Linked DNA regions of Nothobranchius furzeri. The main gene of each other region encodes a partner of the protein of the gene in region 2 in a complex. Links are inferred from orthologs where the notes say so. Each region holds a gene or a part of one and is shown on either strand. Other genes may lie near its edges.

Region 1 (3,652 bases), on a different chromosome or scaffold from region 2:
GGTACCAATTTTCGATACTTTTGAGTGTTTATTATTTTAATTCTCTTTTATAATTAAATATCTATTTTTCTCAATATATAACAATATTTGATAAATATCACGATAAATAACATACAACTGTTTGTATTTTAACATCGTCCTTGTAGTTTTATAAGCTGATAATTAAACTGAAGCAAACATCTTTACTGTGAACTAAATTTACTGTGTATCTTCATTCCTTTTGCCGTCTTTTTTTCATTTGATTTTTCCTACTGGGAAGCTAGAATTTCCGAGGAGAAAGCGAACGCACCATTAGCTGATAACAACGGTGGCAATGGAAGCTAACATATCAAGCTAACGTTATCTTAAACAGTTTATTTAGCTGCTGGAGCAGATTAAAACGACGATGCCTCACACTTAGATCGTTGTCACTGGTTTCATCTTCACCCAATCACCCGTCGCATTTAGTAAAGTGAAGCCAAATTTTAGAGCGCGTTCATGTTCTTCTAGTCAAGAATTCGGAGTTCCGAGGAGAAAGCGAACGCACCATTAGTGGAACGGAAGCTAACATATCAAGCTAACGTTATCTTAAACATTTTATTTACCTACCGGAGCAGATTAAGATGAGGATGTCTCACTTAGATCGTTGTCGCTGGTTTCATCATCACCCAGTTACCCATCACATTTAGTGAAGTGGACCCAAGCTTTAGCGTGCGTTCTTTCTACCATGCTGCTGTTTACAACTGGCTCGCAGCGACCGACGACATAACGCTCTTGCGCATGTGCAGCTGTCTAGGCAAGTTCTCGTTATGAAGGACGGGTACCGAAACGAGGCACCGTTTCAAATGACGTGAATCGGTGCTCGGTCGGTACTATGGAATTCGGTCGGTACCTTAAAAAGTACCGAATTCGGTACCCATCCCTACGTCTTCCTGAATCAGTCTTTTCTGAATTCACCTAAAATGTTCTGGTGTTGATTCATTTACAGAGCCCCCCCCGGAGACGGAGACCGCTCCAGCAGCACCTCCAGCTCCCGTTCTCGGGCTCTCCTGTGTTTAATTCTTAAACCTAAAACAGGAGACAGACTCCAGAACCCTCCTGTCAGTGCTTCTCCTCAGGAACGTCCACACGACGCTCACCTCGGCTGAGACGGATGACCGTTCAGACTTTAGTCGCTTTCAAAAACATCAGATTTGTGTCAAAATCAGTACCACATAACCAAGTGACACGGATCGCATTTGAAAAAATCGGATCTGTGCGTTCAGACTGTCACGAAAAAACCAGATGTGGGGAAAAAAAGCGGGTTTGATGAGCTTTTGTCTGCAGTGTGAACGTAGCCTAAGTGAGTGAGCTGGTGTTTCTGGGCAGGAGTGTAAACGTTAAACATTAAACATGCATCCTTCTGGGTTTAGGATACATGTCTCCACATCCTTCCCCGATGGGAATCCACGAGCACGCTTCTAGTCCCATGTCAGGAAGCGGAGGTGGACCCACACCACCCCACATGCCTCCCTCCCAGTCTGCACCTATGATGTCCTTGGATCCTCAGGCCGGCATGCCCAGCATGTCTGCTATGGGACAACAAGGACGAGGACCTTCTGCCTTCAGTCCCGTGCAGCTTCAGCAGCTCAGAGCTCAGATTCTCGCCTACAAGATTCTGGCCCGGGGACAACCGCTGCCAGATAACCTCCAGCTGGCTGTTCAAGGCAAAAGGAGCCTACCCACAATGCAACAGCAACAGCCGCAGCAGCAGCAGCAGCAGGCTCCTGGTGGCAGCCTGTACAGACCTCCAGGTAGTCAGCCCTCCTCACTTTACCACCTAAATCTGAAATCTAGCACTTTTTGATTTGCGCTAAATGACCATTTGGTGTAATTTTGGTCAGAAAACTATGATGGCGGCTCAGACTGGACCAAACAGACAGCCATTGTGTTGTTATGAAACTGCTGCGTAACTTTATTCAATTCAATTCAAAGCTTTATTTATAAAGCGCCGTCCCTGTCGGGGAGGCCAAGGCGCTGTACGCAGTACATAAGAACTGTAAGTCACAATGAATGAATGCATAATAAAAGGGGGTCAAATAGTGCAAAGAGGGTCAAACATTCAAGTAGAAACAGTAAAAACAGGGAAACGAAATCAACATAGAAGAGGGCCGACTAGGGCTGCTCGATTATGGCAAAAATAATAATCACGATTATTTAGGACGATTTTTCAATTTATGTTGATTTTATTTGTTTTTATTCAGTCATAAAATTTCTCAGGGCGCAATCAGGACAAAAATAAGAAACAAATGATCACTAAAATAACTCCTGAATATAAAAAGACCAATATACTTATAGCTCATAGTTTATGACCTAAGGGCTATAGACCTTGGTTTAACTCATTTAGGTCTAACCAGTACAGAACCAAATACCATTATCTTGCAAATACTGACAGCAAGAATTATACAGTGGCATTCATAACAAATAAACACAAATAAATTGATGTTCACAAAATGTTGCATAACATGTATTGAGTCATGTCAAGGTGCTGTAGGAGAGTGCACTAGCACCGTGTCCTCAGAGAGATTAGTTATTAATTATCAGCGTGAGGAACTTATTTCTACCTTATTTATAAACTATTTATTTACAAGTCATCCATCAGTTAATGTAATAATTGTCTCAACCACAGCTGCACCCCACAACCCAGTCTCTCAGCAATCGGGGCAAGCTGCACGTGCGTTTAGCGCACCACACGCTCACATTTAGCTGTTTTTAGTGGCTCAGGAGTCCGCAGGTGCGGTGTGTGTCACTCACTCTGGTTAATCTAACAAGGAGCCGACTCCGAGAGCTGTCTTTAGTGACTGACCCATCACTACATCATTCCCTTTCCTAATGTCCTGAAGAACGGTCCGGAGCGCAGGCGGAGTGTTTAGCTAACCTGCAGGAAATGTCGACGACAGTTATCCAGAAAGTAGCTAAGGGTTACCAGAGATGTTTCTGAGGTGTTCGCTAGGTACTTTTAAGTTAAAAAGTCAAGAAGGGGGTCTGAAAAGCTGCTAGAAATAGCGTCAAAGTCACTGTTGGCAACACTGTGGGAGGAGCGCTTCATTTGCAACTCAGGGCATCGCAAGCGGGAGGAGCAAATAATCGGCTTGTTTTGTTTTTTATAATCGTTCAAAACTCAGATCGTAATCGTGATTAAAATTCGATTAATTGAGCAGCCCTAGGGCCGACCTCAAACACGTTCAGGGAACGCCAAGCAGAAGAGCTGGGTTTTCAGGCCACCGCAGAGAGGGGGACAGCCTAACTGAGGGTGGCAGCTGGTTCCAGAGTGACGGGGCTAGGACTGAGAAAGCCCGGTTCCCACGAGTCCGACACCTAGAACGAGGGACAGCGAGCAGGCCGTGGTCAGAGGAGCGTGTGACGGGGAATGTCTGTTCAGGAGCGTGGCTAGATTGGGGGGGGGGGGGGGGGGGGGGGGCACCACCCTGGAAGAAACTGAAAACAAAGACGAGGTGTTTGAAGCGAGAACGATAGCAGACCGGAAGCCAGCACAGGGAGGCCAGAACCGGACTGATGCGGTCCCGTTTCCTGGTCCAGATTTCTAAGGCAAAGTGAGACGTGTTGTTTTCTAAAACACGTTTAATTACATGGATGTAAAAGAATGTTTACAGATCAGAGAAAAGCCGTTAAA
Region 2 (4,168 bases):
ACAACCACTCTTTATTCTACAGAAAAGAGCATTGAGAATCATTAATAACAATCACTATGGAGATCCATCCAATCCGTTATTCATCAAATATAAACTAATGAAATTTTATGATCTAGTGAAAATGAAAATATTGCAAACAATGTATAAAGCTAAAACCAATACGTTACCCACCAACATTCAGAAAATGTTTGAAAAAAGAGTCAGTAATTATTTCTTAAAGGAACTGAAGTATTTAAAAAAACGAAATTTAGAACCAGAATGAAAGAAATGACTATCTCTGTAAATGGCGTGAAGAAGAAGAAGAAAATATCATTTCTATAGCGCCTCTCAAGATAAAAATCATGAGGCGCTTCACAAAAACAAAAACTATAAAAAATTGTAAAAATATAAAAAATCACTTAGAAAATGTTTAAAAATATATTTAAAGTGAGCAAGAATAAGCAATTGAGAATATGGAACAACCTTAGCAAAGACATAAAAGAATCAAAGTCACTAAATATATTAAAAAAATGTATCAAATCAAGTGTATTACAGAACTACAATAACCTAAATTAAGTTGGTGTCTGATTAGGTCTGTAAGTTACAAGAATATATAATGAATCTGTGTTTTGTTTTGTTGTTTATTGAGAATTGTATGGAAGCATTATTAAAAAGTTTGGTTTGTCAATAGGGGTAGATAATGTAAGATATTTCTTCCTTCTGCCCCTTTTCATTCAAATTGTTTGGTGTTCATGTTTATGCATGTTTTTGTATGTTTTTTGTATATATATATATATTTTGACACTTTGAATGAAACAAAGAGAAAAAAATTATAATTATCAACAAATAATAGAAAAAATGGCTACTACAAATTTCAAAATGACTAAAAGTAAGTGGATTGTTTGTGTATGTGTGAATATAGTAATTATATTTGTTTTATTATTGGGTTTCTGGATAAAATGGGCTATAAAAAAAGCACAAATGGGAACATACATGAAATGCACAGTTTTATGCCCTTCCAGATCAAGTCTGTATGTGCAAATGTATTTTATCAGCAATAAATCAACGCAGCTCCACCTATTAATAAAATCACGATTATAAAAAGTGTAAATTGTGCAACTACTTTCTTACAAGCTGAAAGCAGGTTTTAAACTATGTTGCAGGATAAATTATTATCTGCACAACTCTGCCCCCTGCTGCTCGTCTGCCGTCGACACAGCGCTTTGTGCTATCAAGCTATTGGAGAGACGCCCTCTGTCCGCCAGGAGGCAGCCAACACCGACTGGTAGTCTGCAGGCAAAGATGGCGGTGCGGAAGAAAGACGGCGGCCCCAATGTAAAATATTTCGAAGCATCTGACACCGTTTCGCAGTTTGATAATGTCCGCGTCTGGCTGGGCAAGAATTACAAAAAGGTACTGAGCGCATGTTTTATAAGCGTGCTCACGGAGCTTTCTTATTTTGCCCAGAAACGTACGCGCTTACCTATGGAGGCAGAGGCAGTGACAAAGAGAGGAGGGAGGGTGCTGCTGAGCGTCCAGCTGTTTGATTCACTAAAAAAGGATGCTGAGCCAACCGCAACATCAGACGCGGCCGCAAAAGTCGGTGTCTGTAGGTCTTGCTGTAGCCAAAAGGATCCAAAGACACCACACAGTCCCGCCGGAGGGAGCGGAGTTTAGAAAAAGAGATATTTTTGGCAAAGCAGGCTAGCTAAGCTAATCGGCTAACGGTAACGCGGCTCACATCCAGATGTTGGCTGTGTGGCGCGCCTCTGGCTCTGGAGTCATGAGCGGTGTTAAATAACACTGACCAGCGCTTTATCACGTAGATTTAACAAAACATGGTGTTAATGATCAAAAAAGTCACAAGTATCCATTCATTAATGATGGATAATTGTGGAATTAATCACATTTTATTTAAAAAGATCTAAAGCTTTTTACGAAAGAAATCTAGTTTTCCTTGTCCACCGAAGTCTCCATTATCCAGTTACAATAACACACTTTAATAATGACTAGAATAAGAAACAAACAAATACACATATGTGAACACTGCTCATGTGTATAAAAGAATGCAGAGATTTAGGCAATAGACAGTTAATGAGATAGGATTCACAAAAGGACGATGGAATAAATGCTTTATTTATATAGTGTTGCTAATGTATAAAACACCCATATGAAGCGAGGAATGAGAAATATACTGAGTTTACCCAGCAATAATACTATATAAACTGATAAACATACAGATCCATCTACATTATTTACACCCATAAATAAAAGATGCATACACAGGAATAGTGATAAAAGTGAAACTTCCAGAGTTCCCATAAGTTTTTCCCATCTCCCCAGTACATCCAGGCCGAGCCCCCCACCAACAAATCCCTGTCCAGCCTGGTGGTCCAGCTGCTCCAGTTCCAGGAGGAGGTGTTTGGCAGACATGTCAGCAACCCTCCCCTCACTAAGCTGCCGGTATGTCACACTTATTTACCCCCACCCCTCTCTCTAACAGATTACTCACCCCTTTGCCCTCAGGCGATGTAATATGAAGCTGTTTTATTTTCTTTCTGCAGATGAAGTGTTTTCTAGACTTTAAATCAGGGGGGGCTCTCTGCCACATTCTGGCTGCTGCCTACAAGTTCAAGAGTGACCAAGGATGGTAAGAGCTTCTTTCTGACTGGTCTCATCATGCATCTTGAGTGAAATAAAAGTGGCAGTGCTCTGCTGCATTTAGGCTGTCCTGCTGTTTTGTGTGTAACTCCAGTTTAATTTCCTGGTAGGCGCAGGTTTGACTTCCAGAATCCATCGAGGATGGACCGAAATGTGGAAATGTTCATGACAATTGAGAAATCTTTAGTACAGGTGAGTTTTTCTCACTGATTTTATTCACCGTTAAGCTTTTAAAACTCATTCCTTGGACAGTTATGCTGTAATAATTGTTTTTCATCTTTGTCAGATAATTGTGGGGTTTTTCTGATTTATTCTAAACATTTAAACATTGAGGTTTTTGTTTCTTTTGTGTTTCTGCGAGTAGCCGATCTAAATAGGTTATCTGTGCTGGGAACGCTGCTTGTCTCCTGTTTTTACATCACGTTTAGGAAGTGTCTTTAGAATCAGAGTGGTGAGATTTAAAGATAGAAATAACAAAAGACAGCCTTTTCTCTGAATCAGACACACTTAAATGCTCATTTATAGGATTTGAACCATAAAACTAGAGTTACAACTTGAGCTGGTTCTCCTTGATTCTTGTAGAACAACTGCCTGAGCCGACCCATCATCTACCTGAGTTCTGACATTGAACCGAAGCTGCTTGGAAAACTGAAAGACATCATTAAAAGACATCAGGTTGGTTTTTGCATAGTTTTTTTTAAACAAAAGTGTTATTCTGCTGTGCATGTATAATCCACACAGCCTTTTTGTGCTGCAGGGCTCCGTGACTGAAGACAAGGCTTCCAGCTCCCACGTTGTGGTTCCCATCCCCACCAGTCTGGAGGAAGGTGAAGCCTTGTTATGTTGCTCAGCTCGGGTTTCTTATGAATTCTGCTGCTTTTCCACTTTAGTTCTAATACAACATGATATTTGTTGGTCCAGAAGAGTGGGTGCGTCCTGTGATGAAGAGAGACAAGCAGGTCCTCCTCCACTGGGGATATTTTCCAGACAGGTTGGTTCTGACTTGGCGCTTCAAACACAGCAGCGGCACACGCGTTTTTACCATTGAATGAGTCCTAAACGGTCTTCTTTGTGAGCTCACTGAACCTACACATTGCTCCTTGTGTGGTATTCTCACAAGCCTTGATGTGTATTTTGTTCCCTTCTGTTGTTTTTAGTTATGACACGTGGATTCCTGCAAGTGAGATTGAAGCTGCAGTGGAGGATCCTCCGAGCCCAGAAAAGCCCAGGAAGGTCTTTATTAGTTTTATTTCTAATCATTAGTTACTCGTATATATATATATATATATATATATATATATATATATATATATATGTATGTATCTATATACATATATATATATATATATATATATATGTATATACATATATATATATATATGTATATACATATATATATATATATATATATATATATATATATATATATATATATATATATGTATATACATATATATATATATATATATATGTATATACATATGTATATACATACATATATATGTATATATATATAAATATATATATA

What was found. The genes of interacting proteins can lie anywhere in the genome.
Region 1: smarcc2 (region 2) and smarca2 share a complex: the UniProt entries of both Homo sapiens proteins name them as parts of the BAF complex. The link is inferred for Nothobranchius furzeri from reciprocal best matches to the Homo sapiens genes SMARCC2 and SMARCA2.

Annotation. Positions count from the first base shown.
Region 1 is NC_091750.1:37,837,784-37,841,435, forward strand, and holds part of smarca2 (probable global transcription activator SNF2L2), read left to right. Parts: intron 1-1,391; coding exon 1,392-1,772; intron 1,773-3,652. UniProt on the Homo sapiens protein: ATPase involved in transcriptional activation and repression of select genes by chromatin remodeling (alteration of DNA-nucleosome topology).
Region 2 is NC_091743.1:50,346,220-50,350,387, forward strand, and holds the start of smarcc2 (SWI/SNF complex subunit SMARCC2), read left to right. Parts: upstream 1-1,232; 5' UTR 1,233-1,281; coding exon 1,282-1,392; intron 1,393-2,322; coding exon 2,323-2,442; intron 2,443-2,543; coding exon 2,544-2,629; intron 2,630-2,750; coding exon 2,751-2,832; intron 2,833-3,222; coding exon 3,223-3,315; intron 3,316-3,397; coding exon 3,398-3,467; intron 3,468-3,561; coding exon 3,562-3,631; intron 3,632-3,797; coding exon 3,798-3,873; intron 3,874-4,168. UniProt on the Homo sapiens protein: Involved in transcriptional activation and repression of select genes by chromatin remodeling (alteration of DNA-nucleosome topology).